Lepisosteus oculatus: one gene and its partner. The protein of the gene in region 1 interacts with the protein of each later gene in a pairwise test. Links are inferred from orthologs where the notes say so. Each region holds a gene or a part of one and is shown on either strand. Other genes may lie near its edges.

Region 1 (8,992 bases):
GGAGCCAAGCCAGTATGCCAAGACTACCTGACCAGCAAGCAACATCACTGTAGCCTGTGGTTCCCCTGCAGTAGACAACAGGAGCTGATGCTGCTTGCTCAGTGAAGAATAAGGAGAAATAAGCTTAAAATAGAAAGCAGACACCCTACCAGACAAAGTGTTAACTGTGGTGAGACAAGGTACATTGAAGTGATTTTTTAAGTCTAAGCAGTTAAGCTAAAGACGCCGTTACCTGGTTTTGACATTGCTGAAGTAGCTCCTGTGCTTTTCTCGGTATGGTTTGTGGTCCATGATCCACAGGTGGGCATCCCAGTCTTCCTCACGTTTTCCAGATACTCAAATCACAGCACCCCTCTCCATCCCCATCACTGAGGGTTACTCTCACATTCTATAGGCCTGAACAAATAGAGGACAGTGCACAGCGCATTGTCAGATGCACAAGCATATACTGGGGCATGGGTTTTAATATTACAATTATTACATCTTAAGTCTGCTGCAACCATGGCTGCTGGTGCTGCTGTACATGCCAGTTTGTGTCTCTGTGTTGGCCAACCAGGTAGATACATCTGTTCTGACCAAACTATCCTATTCTCCTCCCCACATGTCCGGATGGCGCCCGGGGTGGGCACCATCCGAGTTGGATGGCGCATCAATGCCGTGGATCCAAGAGGGATATCGTGGATATAGCTATCGTTTAGGAGGATTTTGCTGGTCTACAGAAATCTGCATGGAGTACTGACATACAGAATATTGGATGGATGAATACCTTTATTGTTTCCTTTTTTTAATTGTATATTGATACAATTAAATGTATATTTAATTGTTAGCATGCCCAAAGGGGTTGGGCATCCAGTTGACTTTGGACCCCTAGAGGTTTTTTTCTTCTCCTTACTAAGGAGTTTTTGGTTCCTCTCATCCGTTGTCTTCCGGTCTTTTCTGTTCTGTATTCACACCATGTATGGTCACTTGCTTTGTTAAGTGCCTTGGGGTAACCTTGTTGTGAAAGGCGCCATAGAAAAATAAACTGAATTGAACTGAATTATTCACTTTATTTAATCAGCTGGCCGCGATGGACTGGCGTCCCCTCCGGGGTGTGCCCTGCCTCACGCCCGGCTCCCCTGTGGCCCTGAACTGGATGAAGCGGTTTAGAGAACTCATGGATGGAGAGCGGAAATCAGTTGAGAATAATATAGCCATTATTGCACACAGGACAAAACCAAGAACGGACAAGCAGACCAATTGATTCAAAATAAAAAACAACAACATTACAGGTAGTGACAGAGTTAACATGCAGTTTTCAGGCAGAAAAAGGGGTTATTGTGGAAATAAAAAGTATTCTGCAATCAGACTTAGGGTTCAATGCTCTTGGAAAGACAAATATTTGCTGAAAGACTTTTTTGTCCTTTGTGACGTCTTTGAGCCCTTTTAAACTCAATCGGCAAATTCAGTAAAGGTGCCATCATGCTCTACTGTGAGTCCTATATTATTTTAAACTGTAGATTTTGTTTCATGAAGGTGAAAGATGATCAAAGATGAATGTCTCAATGATATTCTGGTTACACTGAAAAGGCATATTTCCAGTCATCTTATAAGCTCAGCCTGTACACTGTTTGTGGTTGTTCCAAAGCCTCCTTTTGGTTTTAACAAGCAAAAATAATATTTTAATAAATAAACACACACGCTCACACCAGGGCCAGTTTTCCCAGAAGACTGTGGGAGGAAATAGGAGCACCAGGAGGACACCCACACAAACACGGGGAGAACATACAAACCCCACTCCACATAGCACCCCAGGAACTGAACCTAGGGCCCCAACACCACACTGCGCCACCATAATATTTCTACTTTACTGTCAAAAGCTGACAAGGCAAAGTAAATATGCTCAAGAAACAATGATAAAAAAAAATCACTATTGAAATTATTCAGGCAAATCTAGTGGTACTGTTCCATGTCTTCTCTGCCATTAGCAAGCATTCCTGGCTTAGCTCCTCTGCCCTGGGGGAGGTTTGATCCTGGGAGCGGATGGGCTGAATCTCAGCAGAGAGAAAGAAGGTGATGCAATGTGGACTGCAGGAAGATCGAGGCAGCCTCAATCGATCCCTGCACTAGCGTTCCCTCCCTTCTCCCCTTTCCTCTCCCCCTCCACTTTGAAATGCAAATCAGCACTCCTCCAATCTGGCCTTACCAGCTGATCTGTCCTGATAGCACACGGTTCCTGAGATTTTGGTATTGCTTCTTCCACACAGTGTAAAAAAAGGCAGGCCCTGCCTGTGCCCTTGATAGCTAAGCACATCTGAGGCTGAGGTCTCACGTGGTTAACAATGCTGAGCAGGGGAGTCGCCAGGCTGTAAAGATCGGGGTGTCCTCAGAGGACCTAAAAATAGAGCCATGCCTGAAGGGACAAGAAGAACGTGACCCGAGACAAAAGCCAAAGTCTGGGATCACTGTACTGATTGCTGGATGAAAGGCTTCATCACCAACGGCCCTGTACGCAGCCGATTTGCACAGGCTCTGATCTGGACAATGTGACCTCCTTATTTCCATCACAGCTGGAAACACAGCAGCAGGCGGGGAAGATCAGGCAGCGGGGAGTCCTTTCTGTCGCTGATTTGACAGAAATTACACGCCAGCAGCACCTTGACCTCACTTCTCAGATCTACAACTCATCAAGATCTCAGAAGACCTACAAAATCGACCTTTTTTGTGGCCCCCTAGAGAGGAAAGCCTGGGTGTGAAGGTGTAAATGATACATTTCAGACCCCTTCTGAACCAGAAATGCCCTTAAAAACATGCAAAGAGAAGAAACTCTTCATAATTATTATTTTTCACTGTAAGCAGTCTGACTGATCCTGCAATAACAGACTGATACGTTTTACTTCTGCCCCATATAGCATTATGGAAATTGTAGATTCTAGAGGTTGGTCAAAACAGCAATGTGACCGCAGGAGTTAGTCAACATGAAATTAAGAAAGTCTTGCTCAACTTGTTAGAATTCCTTGAATATGCCACAGCAGTAATGGTTACAAGCAGAGCAAGTCATAAAGTATATTTAGATTTTCAGAAAGCTTTAGATGACATTCCTCATAAGAGATTAATTTGCAAATTGAAGGCTGTAGGCATTCGAGGAAATATATGTGCTTGAATTAAGAACCGGTTAATGAATAGAAAACAGAGAGTACAGATAATGGGTGAGTGTTCAAATTCATTTCATTTCACCAAAACCAGTTTGGTGTAGGAACACTGCAAGTCTGAACTATTATCAATTACCTATATTCTGGCATCATCAGAAAACGAATACGGTTTGCCCAAAATAAATTTTAAAAATAAAAGGATTACAGAGTAATCAATAGTGCAGTGTAGAAGCTGCAAAGAGAATTCAAAAGGATTCTTAAAGAATTCTGGACCGGATTAATGATTAATGATGAATGATTAATGACACTTAATTTAGACTAGGTTATAAGCAAAAAAAGACACCTATTTATGTTTATATACCTTTTATCTTCTTGATCATGCATGCAAGTAATAATAAGGCAGTCAGAATCTTAGAATATATACTTAGAATTTCAAATAAAACCTCATTTGTGTTCATTTTTCATCACCATAGTGCAAAAAGGAATGTCCTGTAGTAACAGGCTAAAATAATGTATCCTTTTGCTCTCTAGAACACAAAAGACTCAAAAAAAAGATTCAAAATCTTAAAAAGGCACTGACACGGTGAAATCTTAGCAGGGGAAACTACAGGAACACTGAGAGCAGGAGGCTTTACACAAAGGGTTGTGGGTGCCTGCAGCCTGTCGAAGGCGATACCTTCATCAAAGGGCTGGATGAGACGCTTGCGTCAGTTACCCAACGGCCTACAAATGAGCTGGGTGGGCCCAAAACCCCTTCGCACTTGCAAGACACTCAGAGGAGAGTCCTTTCACACTCTTCTGACATCTTGTTCTGAAAGTGTGCGTCACATTGACCCAAAGACAGGTGACACTGAGGAGGCATGAAAACTAGAGGCTATAGATCAAATTCTGTAGGTGAGTAAATAGCCTTTCATGCTTAATAATGATTATACTTCTCCTTTATGGGGTGAAAGTACAATTACAAAGAGTGATATCTCCATCTCTTATGTAAAACCAATCTAATATAGCCTCCAGTTGTTCTTTTAATGTAACAATGATACATAGCAATTCAAAGAAATGATGCAGTCAATACTTCAGAAAATGCAAAAGGGAGAGCAATGTCATTATTAAATTATAAGATGGCTAATTCCACTATTTCTATGCCATTTCTGCAATACAAACATTTTGGACTCGTAATGAAACTAAAACAATTCAGCAAGTCAGTGGCCTAAACCCAGCTAGCATGTTGCGCGTTAACACAGAGACTGGCACTGCATGATAATTAGATCTGAGCTGAACACGACTTTGGACGCTGTATGTTAACATGGAGGGATTTGCTCTGCTACCTGATAGTCAGATCCCAAACGACAATATTTACAAAAATGCCAGCGATGGACCGGGTGTGTTTTGTCAGACAGCCGGGATGCCTGTGGCCCAAATCAGATGAGAGCACTTCCGAAGTGTCTCGGTGTCGCATTTGCGTTTGCACGATAATGGTTCTGTTCCCGCGGCTTTGGAGTACACGCTAGGCACCTTCTTTCAAAATACAGAGTTAAATGACGTCCTACTCTTTATGGACCCTTTTCTATTTCGTCCTGAAGTTCAAGGAAATGTGACTGTCGATAACAGCTCGATAGAGAAGAAAGCAGTTGACCGTCTATACAGCATACACCCTGACCCGATGCATTTGGTGCATTTCGTTGCGTTGCGATGCGTTCCCCCCTAAAATACCAAACACCTCTCACATTATCGGACTTGAGCTTAGCAAAAGAGAACAAAAAAAAAAACCCCAAACAAACCTGGTTTTCCCAGCACTGCCTCCACTCGGTGGCGAGGACAGGACCCCCAGACCGCTCGGCGCACTTCTCGGTGCGGGTGTTCGTGTTTTCTGGCTCCCTCAGCAGAAATTGACAAGTTCAGCCGGCGGCTCCGCCTCTCTCTCCGCGGCGCGACCTCCCCAGACGACGCGCGGTGTCTGCCCGGCTCCAGACCCCAGAACGAAACGGCAGGTTCACCGGGTGGTAACTTTTTTTTAGATCCTCATTTTTGGCACCGCGGGTGTCCTTCGGTGTAGCTCCCAGCTCCTCGGTTTGGCGTGAGCAGAGTACTCGCAGCGCACGGTTATCACCAGGCGCAGGATAACCTCCGAGGACTAGAGGTATTTTCGTTGTACTGCAAGAAGCGGTGGTACGATTCCTTAAAAAAAAATGACATATTGTTAATTATTCAGGTGGACACCACCCCTACATCCCTCTCCGCCCACACTTAACCACTACTATCATCACCATTACTGCCATCCACCTACAAGAGCCCTTGAACGCCAGCGGGATCTAAAATTGCATTCTTCTGCAGTGAGGTCTTCAGAGTCGAAACCTTCTCGCGTCGAGCTGAGAGTGTGCGTAATTACACTGTGCTAAAATGCCGCTGGAATTGATTCCTTGGCAACCTTCAAGAAACTGGAAAGATGCAGTGTGTTGTTGTTGTTGTTGATGATGTTTTAAAATCACACCGTCAAACAGCACAATGTTCTTTAAAATACACATTTTTGAAGCAAGGCCAGATACCCAGGCAGTGAGGAAACTGCACGTCATTAATTTGATCTCGTACTTTGTTGCAACAGACGTCAGATTTTTACCGCAAGAGCGAAGAGCATAATATGTGTAAAATAACTTTAAGGCTATTCATTGGGTCTTCGGGGACATCTGGTGGCAAAGCCTGCAAATATTCACCAAGTGCATTATATTATCTGTTGCACAAAGCAATTGTGCATAAACAGACCCATTGCTTCGGAGATTGTCTCTAGTTTCTTCAGTTTATCATTTGAAAGGGAAGTGAGCTGTGAATAAGGAAAAAAAATACATTTCTAACGTAAGTTAACAGCATGGAAAAGGTCAATTAGGGAACTGCATTACTGTAAATTCACGCAAGGGGGCAGTGTGACTGGAGATCGAACCCTTTGTTACTCGGGCCCGGTGGTAGAGTTGCTCTAGCTACTGTAGTACTCTATGGTTCCAGTTCTGTCTAGTCTTATTGGTTTCCACTAAGCGATAATAACAACGATATCAGGGAAAGAGGAAGCTGAGAGCGGCCGCAAGTGTTTAAGCCGGGGAGTTCTTTTGTGGCTGATGAATTTAAAAACCTTGAAGATCGTGAGTAAAATTTCAGGATATCTGTTTATTTTGTACAGGACACTAGTGGTGGTGGGAGGGGGGGTACGCACAGGGTTTTAAACGCCATAGCTCCGACAAACAGGGTCATCTGGGGCTGTTTTTGAAATACCCTCTAGGTCGAGGAATTCCTGGTTGTCCAAAAGGATTCATACAATAACCTACATGATCACTAATACACGAATACTAATACTGCTCTGGACTCAAGAATAACACTAAAGTAAATAATTTGTGATCTCACGGTGGGTATTTCACACGCATCATACTCTCAGCGGTAGAAACTAACACGGTGACATGCAGTATAGGTAGCAAAGGAATAAGTAATAGGTTTATTTCATGCTGAAAAGACAAGAAGGAAAACAACGTGGAGCCTTCTTCAGGTGTGAGAGATGCTGTGCAGGACAGGTAGTCTGCCGTAGTTAACTAGAACTAACTAGCTACTTTTCACAGAATCAGTTTCTGGTGGGTATTTAAATATCATGACCTACATGTAGCCCGTATATGTTGTGCAGCTCTCTCGTCAGGTTTGTCAAATAGTTTTTTTTTCTCCTGTTTCTTTACAGATGTTTAACAGTCACTTTCCTGTCGAGTGTTAAGTGATGTGCATGACGTCTCACGGTACCTAGTGGCCCATGCGATAAAAGACGGGGACTCATATTTTTTTTTTACCGGATTTGAATGTGCTCCGCGATCTGACATGGACCAGGACACGGTAAGTTGTTAGAAAATTGGGGAAAAAAAAGTGCTTTGTGGATTGTAAAATAAGCTGAGCACTTGCAGCTGGTGATGAATTCTATTCGGATCTCCGATATTTTCCTTTTTTAAAATAAAAATATACTAATCTATGAGTGCTGAATTAAAACTGGTAATGAAGGCACTGAAGACAAGACATTTCTCAAGGGCCGGGGATATTTTCAGTTAATGGTGGTTATTGGATTTTGTCATAATATTTCCTTGACATCTAGTTAGTAACGCTATGGGGATAAATAACTAGGAATACTACTCTGTTGACACTCATTAATCACACTGTATTGCCCACTGCATTGTATGTGGCCGTTGTGAGGCAAACGTCTTATTACAACACCTGCTTACAATGCCTGCTGCTAAAGTAAAGTTCACTACGGCTTCTCTGTTTAAATCAGTGAATTATGGAGGGGGTTTTGTTTATAAAAATTAAGCCTTGTGGGCTGAGGGGTGAAGCAGCTACTAAGAAATCTTAGCGATGAATGTTTTAGAACTTTGTCTCCTGGAAGATGTGGTAATTTAGAAATGTGTAAAAGATGAGTCACCGCTGTCACAGACAAGAGCTCATGGGGTGAATACCTAAGGTTGGCACCTGCCCGGCCACATTGTTTGGCACTCCCTTACTCGAAATGCCTGCCTCTTTATGTCTCTCTGTTAGGTCATACCTATTTGGCAGAACAAGCCCCACGGGTCGACCCGCAGTGTGGTGCGGAGGATCGGATCCACTCTGCCCCTCAGGCCCTGCCCAAGAGCGTGTTTTCAGGTGAGAGTGATTGCTACCTGTATTTCAGCACCGGGAGAGGGAGAATTGCATTTCAGGTGAGGTCACTCTGGTCTGGATGAGCTAAGTGATAAACCTGGCTCACACCAGCTCTGAATAGAACACTGTTTTCCCTCCAGCGTGCTGTCAAAAAGTCTTACCCCATCATCCCCATTCTGTGTGTCAGTGCAGGGGTCCTGTCTTCAGTCAGACAGGGGGTTCCCCGCTCTTGGGGTCCAGAGTCCAGCAGGGCTTCTGTGTCTTTTTAAAACGTCCACGGTTGAAGGCTGTGGAGAAAAGACAACCAAGCCCAGTTAAACCTTAAATGGATCAATTTTAGACCTTGCAAAGGTAGGGAGCTGTATATAACTTTTAAGGAAACATGGAAATATCATGGGAGTCTAGAACCTACAGTAGTACAAGAGTGGGAAACCTCTGAAAAGTCTGAATATTGTCAGGGATGTGCTCATCCAGATCCTAATGGACAGGTCAAAGTTACCCTCTATTTTCACAGCGATGGTCTCCGTTTCCTTCTCATCAAGGGAACAGTTTGCATCATTATTTAGACATTTGCTTTGCGCTGCCTTTGTCATGTAGTTTGTGCTGCAATACCCCAATAGAAGGCTGTGGATGTCCAACCACGTTGCTGGAGAGCAGAGTCTTGTAGGCTTATGGCTCTTTTTCATTCATTGATCACAAGATATCTTGCTTAATATGAGCCCCTAATTTAAGATGTTCAGCCGCATGCTGATCTATTTGTTTTTCTGGGAGACATGCAGGCTCTGCCCGGGCTGCCCTCTCCACGCCCCATTGACGGCCCCATGGTGCCCACGCTGGCTGACATCGCGTGGATCGCTGCCGATGAGGAGGAGACCTACGCCAGGGTGCGGTGAGTGCCCTCGTCGGCTCCCACCTGCAAAACCTAGCCTTCAGGCCGAAACACAGATTCACGCGTAAAAATATCCTGAGCTCGTGTGAAATGAGCAACCAAAGCAAATTTCAAGCGTCTTGTTCATTTCAAACCTCGGATCACAGAGGTTACGACCTTGATCTGGATTACAGACGGGTGCATCGTCTGCCTGTGCTGACCTCTCGGTCATATTCTCAAAGCACAGGCCTCCATGCAAAGCTTGTACCTCTTTGTGTTCTTAAAGGACACAATACAGTGACCCTGTAGAGGGGTCACAAATGTGCTGTAGATCAAGATGTGA
Region 2 (9,648 bases), on another chromosome or scaffold:
ATACAGCAAATTGACACACAAATGGAAAATGTGAAATGAGCAGCTTGTGATGAATCTTAGAGTGGTTCTATCCCATTTATCCTAGGTCAAACTGAGGTGCTTGTAGGTTCACTCTCGGGGTTCAGTCTTGTCTTGTTGGTGTTTGACTGCCTCACTGTGATTTGAGTAGTGTGAAAACGGTGTGCTGGCTTTTGAGAAATCTTCAAAATACAAAAAGCTTAACTTTCACTATGGAAAATGACAGAATGATCTGGTCCATTCAGCCCAAATAGGAAATGTGTGTGCAAAAGTGGTCATTTCTGTTTAGGAGCATAAAACATTGTGGCTGAGACACATCCTTCTCCAGCCTCAAGACCTTTGTTTTACCCTTAAACAGCAGGAATTATAAGAACTAAGCTGCAGTATAAGAACTGATTTACATAACACCAACTAATACCAAATATAGTAAAGTAAATCACTGCATAAACTACAAGTAACCCACTTAAGAAAATAATTCCACGATCATTTTTAGCTACATTTCAAGAATACTGACTTAGACCTTTATAGAAGAGGAGTATGATTAGTCTATTTCTAACCCTATGGTGCCTTAAAATACTTATAAAAGAAACCTACTGTAAATTTTCTTAGGACAAAAAACAGTCAAAATTGAGACATGCTTACTATTAACATCCACCAAATTATGGTAAAGAGCACAGAATCTGCATTATCAGAACATGTTTTTAAACCAGTCATAAATCGTTATCATAGGCCATCATTATGGAAGAGAGAGACTAATCATCAGGATGAAAGAATTAGGAATTCCTAACTCCCCTTATTCCAGTTCTTCCTGCTGCTGGTTCTTGTAAAAGACCTTATCCCACTTCATTGACCCACAACTCGTCAGTGTACTGGCACTACAGTACAAGCCACAACGTCCTTGAGCGTGAGCTGTAATTTCCAAACGTTTATTTAAATAAATGTGACAGGACTTTTTCCATCACACAGATCACGGTAAAATGATCAGAAAGCTATCGGAGGGAGAGAAAATGATTATTATTAACCAAAATAAAGATTTTCACAGATCATTATTTTGGCATGGCAGGCTTTCCATGCCAGGAGCTCTTTAACTATTTTTTACATGAATAAATAGTAGAGATACCTCTGTAAGTCAAGACATCAATACAAAGCATGTATGCAGGGGATCTGAACAGATGACAAAATTAAGTTCTATGGGCAATGGCAATAAGGACTGCCAGTGAGAGGAGTAACAAACACAAGGCACAGTTGTACCGAATAAAAGAAAAACGGATACTCACTAAGTCCATGACTGTTCCTGTAGATTCCAGGATCATTTTAACGACCCGAATCAGATGGGCAATCATCTAGGGAGTTTCTGCAAGCCATCTTCAACATCATCTTCTGGGTTCCCACAGGTTCCCTACTGGACTTCCATTCTCCTGCCGTCTGAAATGTGAGCACCAACAGGATGGAAGGCACTGAGGCATGGGGCACAATGAGAAACATTTACATGCAAATCACAAGCACGCTTGAATTACAGCTCATACTCGCACAATGGAAACCAGTAACTATGCGTCTTAAAGAAATGACACATTTCCAAAGTAAACAAGTATTGCACTTTATTTATCCAGCAGCCAATCACTCTGCAACTCACAGCTGACAGCCTACTGAAGCTCAACAGCTCATCAGTACCTGGATGGGAGACCTCCTGGGAAAGCTAAGGTTGCTGCTGGAAGAGGTGTTAGTAGGGCCAGTAGGGGGCGCTCACCTTGCAGTCTGTGAGAGTCCTAATGCCCCAGTATAGTGATGGGGACACTATACTGTAAAAAGGCGCCATCCTTTGGATGAGACGTAAAACCGAGGTCCTGACTCACCGTGGTCATAAAAATCCCAGGGCATTTCTGGAAAAGTGTAGGGGTGCAACCCTGGTGTTCTGCCCAAATTTCCCACTGGCCTTTACCAATCGTGGTGTCCTAATAATCCGCATCCATGAATGGCTTCTTAACTCTGTTCTCCTCCCCACTAATAGCTGGTGTGTGGTGAGTGTACTAGCACATGATGGAGTGGAGTGTTCAGAAATGCACTATTAAAGTCAAGTGGACTTCAGAATCTGCAGCAAAAACCACAAGCCAATGAGATCCACTGAAGTGTATTAAAAACTGATAACAGGTGCAGTTCTGAACAGATGGATGATAAGATGGATGAACAGCTGGATGAAACCTTGGGACCAATTACCTGATAGTAAGCAAACAGGCTAGACAGCTCGATCGTCTCCCTCTTGTATGAAATACTTAATAGAAAAAATGTATTTATGACAATCTATATTAAAGCAAACAAGAATATTATATTCTAAGAACACATCAACAGGACATGTAGAAGACTTCTCTGATAAGATAAAGTCATGCAAAATTAATATTAATAATGTGACAAGTATTTTTAAAAATATAATCAACTACTTAAGGCATGTAGAAATACTGTATATATGTTTAAAATATAATGCTGAGTAAACACTAATAAAACAGACAAGCTTTTCACAATTCTTATAAACACAACAATCAACATGATTCTATTCCAATTTCAAAGGACAGATGCTTTGTCCTCAACTGTTCGGAGTCTTCTTTCATATTGCAGGCAGTAAGTAAGAACAATGACCTTTGCCGTTTGTTTTCTGTACTTTGTGACCGACAACAATACTCTATTCTTAAACCTTATGAAACAACATGTTTTTCACAAATCTTTTTCCTTCTCTGACTTAATTACAGACTCCTTACCACAACAACCCCGCTAGACAATGAGAATCAGCCAAGTATTATTAAACAGAGAAAACCCTAAATTATACTGCAAATAAAAAACAATTCTTACATAATAGTATTTAAAAACCTTAATAATACAATCTCAGGATGACTGACTATACAAAAGAGCTAGAGAGCACACTGTGTTACATTTAGTTCTGAGTATGAAGACCCATACAAAGTCTATGAGCTGAAATTCCAAATGAAACAATGGGTAATGGCAATAAAAAGGATTTGGTGGGGGCTTTTATTCATTCCTAGCTCTACTGTAACTGACATTAGCATTAAATTATAAACTAAACTCCAAAAAAATTAATCCCAAAAAATGTGTTTTTGCAGAAACCATGTCTAAAGGCATGTAAAATACCTTAATATAGACAACAGAGTATTTTACATAAAAACGCATAGGGCCACTATGTTACTTCATACAGCATATAAGGTACATACACTACAGCCCTCAAATTCTCAACCATTTAAATGCGTCAACAGCATTTCGACAGACCTATGCAGGAACTCAATTACTCACAGATATTGGTACTTTAAGAATACAAAAATACACAAGCTCCAGCGTTTAGTTTGGAAAAATGATTTGAATTATTTTGTGTTAAAAACGGACTCAACAGTAAATGCCGACAATACCGTGCATGTTTGTAAGCTCTGTTAGCAAGCTCACAGTGTTCCAGCTAGTGGAGATCAGCAACATGCAGATCTGAACAGCATCTCTTACCTCCAGTCTTCTCATTCTCTTGCATGACTGTACAGCACACAAGGAGTGCCACAGGAACAGTGAGAGGATTAGATATATTAAAAATGGATTCGTTGATAGGAATTTGCACAAATCTAAAGAGGACTGTTCATCATTGCTAATGAAAGAACTCTGAGCTAATGATTCATCAGCTCAGAGTGCTTGAAACAACACCAATAATTTTGCCCCTATTAGTCATACCACTTTCCATTTTCAGCAATTAAAGACCAGCTTCTGCCCAAGCTTTTGTGGAAATTAGGTAAATGGTAAACGATTAAGAGCAAAGACATGTCTAAGGTACTGTACTGTATTTGCCATCAACCCAGAACCCAGCATCTACTGTCCCTCAACCTTGCAATACAGACCCAAGCCCTCCTGAGGGGGCAATAGTTTCTTAAGAAAAATACACCTTTCTGTTTTATTTGTACAGCACATTATTTTACCCTTTCACCATGTAGATCTACCATTGATATAGCTTCCTTTTGAAATTTTATCAATCGGAAATAAAAACACTGCCACCACGTGCTCTCATAATTACTAATTTCCTAATTGCTGATGATTTATTTGGTTCAGGGACCTTACGACTGTTAACGTGGCAATAGGAATGAGGAACAGTTTGCATAAAGAGAATCAACCTATCGAGAGTAAAGAGATGCAACTCCCGCATCCAACAGGTTATTTAGGATGTTGCTTAATTTTAAGGCTACCTTTGTCTCCCGCTGCCAAAACACGCACCTGTTTTTTCTACATCCTATCTGCAATTGTTATTGTTCGATTTGTTTGTTTTTTTTTCCAGAAAAAAAAAGAAAATATCGCATGGCACCATATACAATAATGCACAAATGTAAACAATCATCATGGCATGAAAGACGTGGTACTTGACACTGTTCAAACCCAACAACTATAGTTCTACTATTTAAATTGTATAAAACAGCTACAGCGGACAGAGAGGTTATCCACCGAGACTGACTGTCAAATGATCAAAACATTACAATCACAACATTAACACAACATCACCATGATCGTGCGCAAACACGGACCGTGTACACTTATGCGATTATACATCACTTCGCTCCAAAGCAGAGCGTTAGACATTCCCTGTAAAGATAGAAGCTCCTAGCAGATTCGCTAGGAATCTGAAACATGACCGCTGATTTATAGACACCCCTTCTGTTTCTTTTTCCAAAAAAATACTATTGATTCTAGAGACAAGGAGTAAAAAACGTGAAAGTGAAAGGCTATAGGACCCCATTAAACGAATAAACCCAGTGCCGCCAGGACCTCAAAGTGAGGGGCATCGGAAAAATTGAAGTTACTGTTCATGGTCAAGACGCCCTAGACCAGCAAATATCATTTGACGGGCATTTAAAAAACGCACCACTGGAAGGCAGGCTAAAAAAAAACAAAACCGCGTAAAGCGAATTCCTTCCGAGTGACTGCGACTGTGTAACCTCCCACTCAGACAGGCCGCTGGCGTGAAGGACGCGCCGCTCGGACTGGGACATAACGTGTTGTTATCCTCGACTCCGGCTCAGCCCGACCTCTTACAAAGCACGACACCCCAGGATGATAAAATACCTCAACACCTTTTGAACGGTTAACAAACTCTACGACACTGGGCGAGTATTAAGTGTCCAGGGCAACCGGTTTTGAACTTCACCGAACAGCAGCACCAGTTCTTTCAGACGAGCACCGTTTATTTTTTAGGGAAAGAAAAAAAACGTTTCTTCACTGGTTAAAATAACTATGGGGCAGCAGTATTTGCTTGCTTAAAACAATAAGGAAAGTTATTAACGTGCCCTTTACCCGATAACCACCGTATACGCCAAAAACGTTTTTTTTTAATATAAGCAACCTTACCTCCAAGCCAACCGAAACCCTTTTCCCAATATTTCCACTCCCGGCAGCGCCGGGGCGATGGATGAGTGGGAGGGGCTGGACATCGTGTTGCACGGGCTGCCGGCGGCCAATCAGCGGCTACGGGCTTCCACACTCAACCAATAGGTGGCTTGACCGCTGCCAGCGATAAGACGTGATGGGGAGAGACCGGAAGTGCCCGCCTTCTGAAATATATCGTGATGCAATTGGCTGCCGCTCTGTACAACCAATCGGAGGGAGGCACAGAAAAGGCCGTTCCTTTATTTATTCCCAGTTTTTAAACTGCATTAACCTGGGCTTTGTTGTACTAAACGGGGTTATAATAGGCCGTTTAGTACACTTTTTAAAATGACGTAATTGTATTTCACCAACGCAACTTTAACGATTAAATTGTATCATAAAACAAAGACCCTATGCATCCCAGCGTTCAGACACTGGGGGGAAAAAAATGTTATAATGACCTTTCCACTCTAAGAAGGCTTCGCCTGAATGGCGGCTGAACCGGGCGAGTCGTACTGAGTTATCCAATCACAGGCCGCGAAACAAGAATGTGGTTATTTGTGACCTGAATGTGGAGGAAAAAAAACACAGAATGAGGATTTGACTGGACTTTTTACATTGGGGGGCTACTTCTGTGTTTACTGGAAGCCAAGCGACGTTTAAAACGCGGGCAGCTGGACACATCTGTTTCAACTCCCCGGAGAGCCAGGGCTGTCGCGGATCGCAGTGCCCAGCCGGAGAGGGATCCTCGGTAAGGACAGCAGGGTGTGTTTATCCCCCCCAGAAGGTGACATGGTGGAGCCGGAGTGCAACACAATGAACGAGAGCGCAGGAGCTGGCCTGGCCTTGGCCTCTGTCATGCATCTGTCAGTTACAGCAGTGTGTGCAAAAAAATCCCAAAACAGTTTCCGACCAGCCCAGGAGCGGCCCTAGCTTTTATTTATGATCATATGTATATTTTTTGGGCCTCACATTAAAGCGGTCTGTGTTTGTTGTTTCACAGTTAACGGTGATTTGCTGTTACTGTCATGCCGTTCACCTTGCTGGGTGACACGAAAACTTTTTTGTGTGTGTGTGTGTTCCCTCGGCTACGATTTGGGGCTTTACGTATTTTTTTAACGCCAGTCGTTCATAAAGTAATTTAAATTTACCTTCGTTAACGATTGCCCGAGCCATTATATATAGTTTGAATATAACTATAATAATGGAAGTAATTTTTTTCGTCGGCTGTAGCTTGTAGCCTGTCGAGGCTCAATGTCCCGCAGTGTTAATTTGGGTTTTAACCTGGTGGTGACTTGACCACCTCAGTGTCTTTCACGGGTGGGCTGCTGTCCTGAAGAAGACATACTGTAAACTGTTTGTCCTGGAGGTAATATGAGGGATGTGAGGTCAAAAGCATAACGACTTTTTAAGTGAAGACATTTTCCTTAATGTATGAGGAAATACCAGTCCTGTTAACTCAAAGTGTTTAAAAGAACTGCGGACACAGTTCAGTAAAATATGAAGGGGCAAATAAAGAAATCAGTTGAGGTAACCAGCATTTACACGTGAAGCTGTGGGATTTAAACAAAATTAACACTACAACTTTAGACAAAAGAGCTGACAGAAGAGCAAGGTAAAAACTAACATATGTCTTCCATCTGTGAATAATCAGACCATTTGGCATTATAAAAATTGGAAATTGAAAGTGCTCAGTCATATTTTAGAAGACATCAGATTTGCCAAAAGACTATTTTTGCGGTGTGTGGGGTATTCTGTTTGTGGTCACATATGAGAGTAACTGATTGAATGGATGCCACTCAATCTGAAATATGGATTACTGGAATCCGGACATCCACATTTTTGTCTGGTGACCTGTTTAAAACGGTCTGCAGTTTTAAAACGCGTGAACTGAAAGAATACGTGTTGAAACCCTTCATCTGGACACTGTTAATTCATCGTTAATTACTAGGCTAGATAAGTGACGTATAAACCCAGATATTGCTAAGTATAGTTTAATAAACAATATCAAATCTTTCTGGGTCTGAACAGTTTTTACCATGTTCTTGTTCTCAAGTGACCAATTAGAGCCTGAGATGATCATAAGTAATAAAGTTTTAAGGAGGACTCCCACCAAAAGAGTGAATATTTAGGTTAACAAAGATTCATCCTTACTGGGAAAAGTTTCAGAGGTAGGACAAATAGAGATGATCGGAGTGTGAGAAATCATACTCATTATAAACGTCCTTTTGCTACAATCTAACAGGAAGCTACAATCTGCCTCTCCATTGAGTATCTTTTTGGATATCTTAAATTTCCTGTGCTTCAGCTCTGGACAAGCAAAGCCCCTAGGCGTCAGAGGTTCTGTAACAGTAGAGGACATCAGCCTGTGTTCAAGGTTTGTGTGCAGATGTTCAGTGTGTTGACCATGTTGAAGCGCGTCTGATGAGAACTCTGTAAGAAAGTGCACACGTGCCAGACTCCGTCACCATGTGAAGTATTTCTCTGGGTCAGCCAGCTCCTCAGAAACCTTTCAGATCTTCAGCGTTGTAGACGGGCCTGAGCTGTCCTCCTTCGGGATGGGAGAGGATGGCAGGCTGTCGGATATTTCGAGAGAATTGACACCCTGCGAACGTCGGCATTAACACGAGGAGGCCCGTGGCTTCGCTTCTCCTCCTGCGATGTAAAAACGAACCCCATTTCCCTCGTCGCTGTCTCAAGTCCGCATTTTTGTCCCCGCAGAGCAAGCCGCCTGATTTGATGTGCATGTCACAGTAAGTGGCTGCCATGAGCTTGGAGCCCGACGCCCTGGCTGTAGTGAACCAGCTGAGAGAGCTTGCAGCTGATCCCCTCAACAGGAGAGCTATTGTCCAGGATCAAGGGTGCTTGCCGGGCCTCATACTCTTTCTGGATCATCCTAACCCTCAGGTTGTCTACTCGGCGCTTCTGGTAAGGCCTAGAAACGTCGCACTGCTTAAGCAGGGTTACACTTTGTCACCTTATGTGTCTGTTGAAGAGAGGGCCTGTTCTCTTTTATCTTTACATTTTGAATCTTTGGAAGCATCCTGGACTGTTTCATTGTGCTGGCCTGCTGAAAGTTAGTTCTGTACTCTGTGTCTCTAGGGCTTTGCATTTAAATGTTTTGATCACGCTCATTTTCATGAGTGGAATTAAAATGTCTCCGTGGAGCACAGCCGCCGATGGGTTAGTCGCAGGGGTCAGACAGCAGAAACTCTCGATGAGAGAACCATCAAGGCAATGTTAACTCCCTTTTGAGAAATACTGTGAGAATGTTTCTTTCAGTTTACTTGTGGAAATGAATGGCTGTCTGTGTTAAACTACTGTCACTCATGTTTCAAAAACATACTGTATAGATCCTGTTCATATCCTCACTCAGGAATCAATTTGATGTGTCTATCTTTCTAAAACAACCTGTGCTTTCCCTTTTTGCTTAGCCTTAGCTTTTTTGCCTTTACTTTTTTACTTGTTTTTCTACAATACACAAATGTACTTCTGAGTTTGATTTGCATATCTTTCCCTACAAACCTCTTTCCTCACTTTGCTCTCAGTGTTTTGGTTATTTGTCCATTTTGTTTGGCTGTTTTCAATGTTTAATTGTTGCTTTAATTCTTAAACTTGTGGATCAGTTGATTTAAGTGGTGAATTTAAGCAATCCAGTTTTTCATTATTTTTTCCATCCTGCTAATTTCCTAGTGACTCTAGACTCCTACATGTTTTATTTGACCAATTTATAAAAAAGGTTCCAAACAAAATGTGCAAAAATCATTTTACTAGTGTGGGGCTCATGGAGTTAGAAAGGTAAAATCTCTGAGATGTAGTAATTAGCTGCTTTATGAATTCTCATACAGTGTAAACTAGAACTATGCTCTGGTTATTTGCACAGAAACTTTGTAAACATTAAGAAAGTAGTGTTCTTCCGTTTGTTCTCTTTTTATTTTTTTGTATTACGATGATGCCTGCTTTTGATTGTCTGAGGATTCCTTCACTTTTTCGCAAAGCTTAGGTAAGCAGACACTTGTTCGGCATGTAACAGCCTCTCTCTGATAATGTGACAGTTTTACTTAGAGTTTGACACTTTTCTCTCAGCATCCACAGTCATAAAGCCGAATATTCCTGTCATGGGTTGCAGGAACCCAAAGCCTGTTGTGGAAGCCAGCCCATCATGACCACACACTCTCGCACGCGCAGTTTAGGGATTTTCACATTCCAGCATATCTGGAATGTGGAAGAAGGCCG

The links.
Region 2: the proteins of mtfr1l (region 1) and armc1 interact in binary tests that used the Homo sapiens proteins (3 or more experiments, as listed by UniProt). The two-hybrid records come from large-scale screens. The link is inferred for Lepisosteus oculatus from reciprocal best matches to the Homo sapiens genes MTFR1L and ARMC1.

What each region holds. Positions count from the first base shown.
Region 1 is NC_090706.1:7,848,841-7,857,832, reverse strand, and holds the start of mtfr1l (mitochondrial fission regulator 1-like), read left to right. Parts: upstream 1-5,177; 5' UTR 5,178-5,268; intron 5,269-6,104; exon of another isoform or gene 6,105-6,259; intron 6,260-6,500; exon of another isoform or gene 6,501-6,519; intron 6,520-6,840; 5' UTR 6,841-6,974; coding exon 6,975-6,989; intron 6,990-7,679; coding exon 7,680-7,784; intron 7,785-8,560; coding exon 8,561-8,670; intron 8,671-8,992. Other genes in the region: nuclear receptor coactivator 7, read right to left, coding at 233-291. UniProt on the Homo sapiens protein: Mitochondrial protein required for adaptation of miochondrial dynamics to metabolic changes. Regulates mitochondrial morphology at steady state and mediates AMPK-dependent stress-induced mitochondrial fragmentation via the control of OPA1 levels.
Region 2 is NC_090701.1:51,112,079-51,121,726, reverse strand, and holds the start of armc1 (armadillo repeat-containing protein 1), read left to right. Parts: upstream 1-5,679; 5' UTR 5,680-6,163; intron 6,164-8,133; 5' UTR 8,134-8,178; coding exon 8,179-8,340; intron 8,341-9,648. Other genes in the region: mtfr1 (mitochondrial fission regulator 1), read right to left, coding at 1,296-1,361.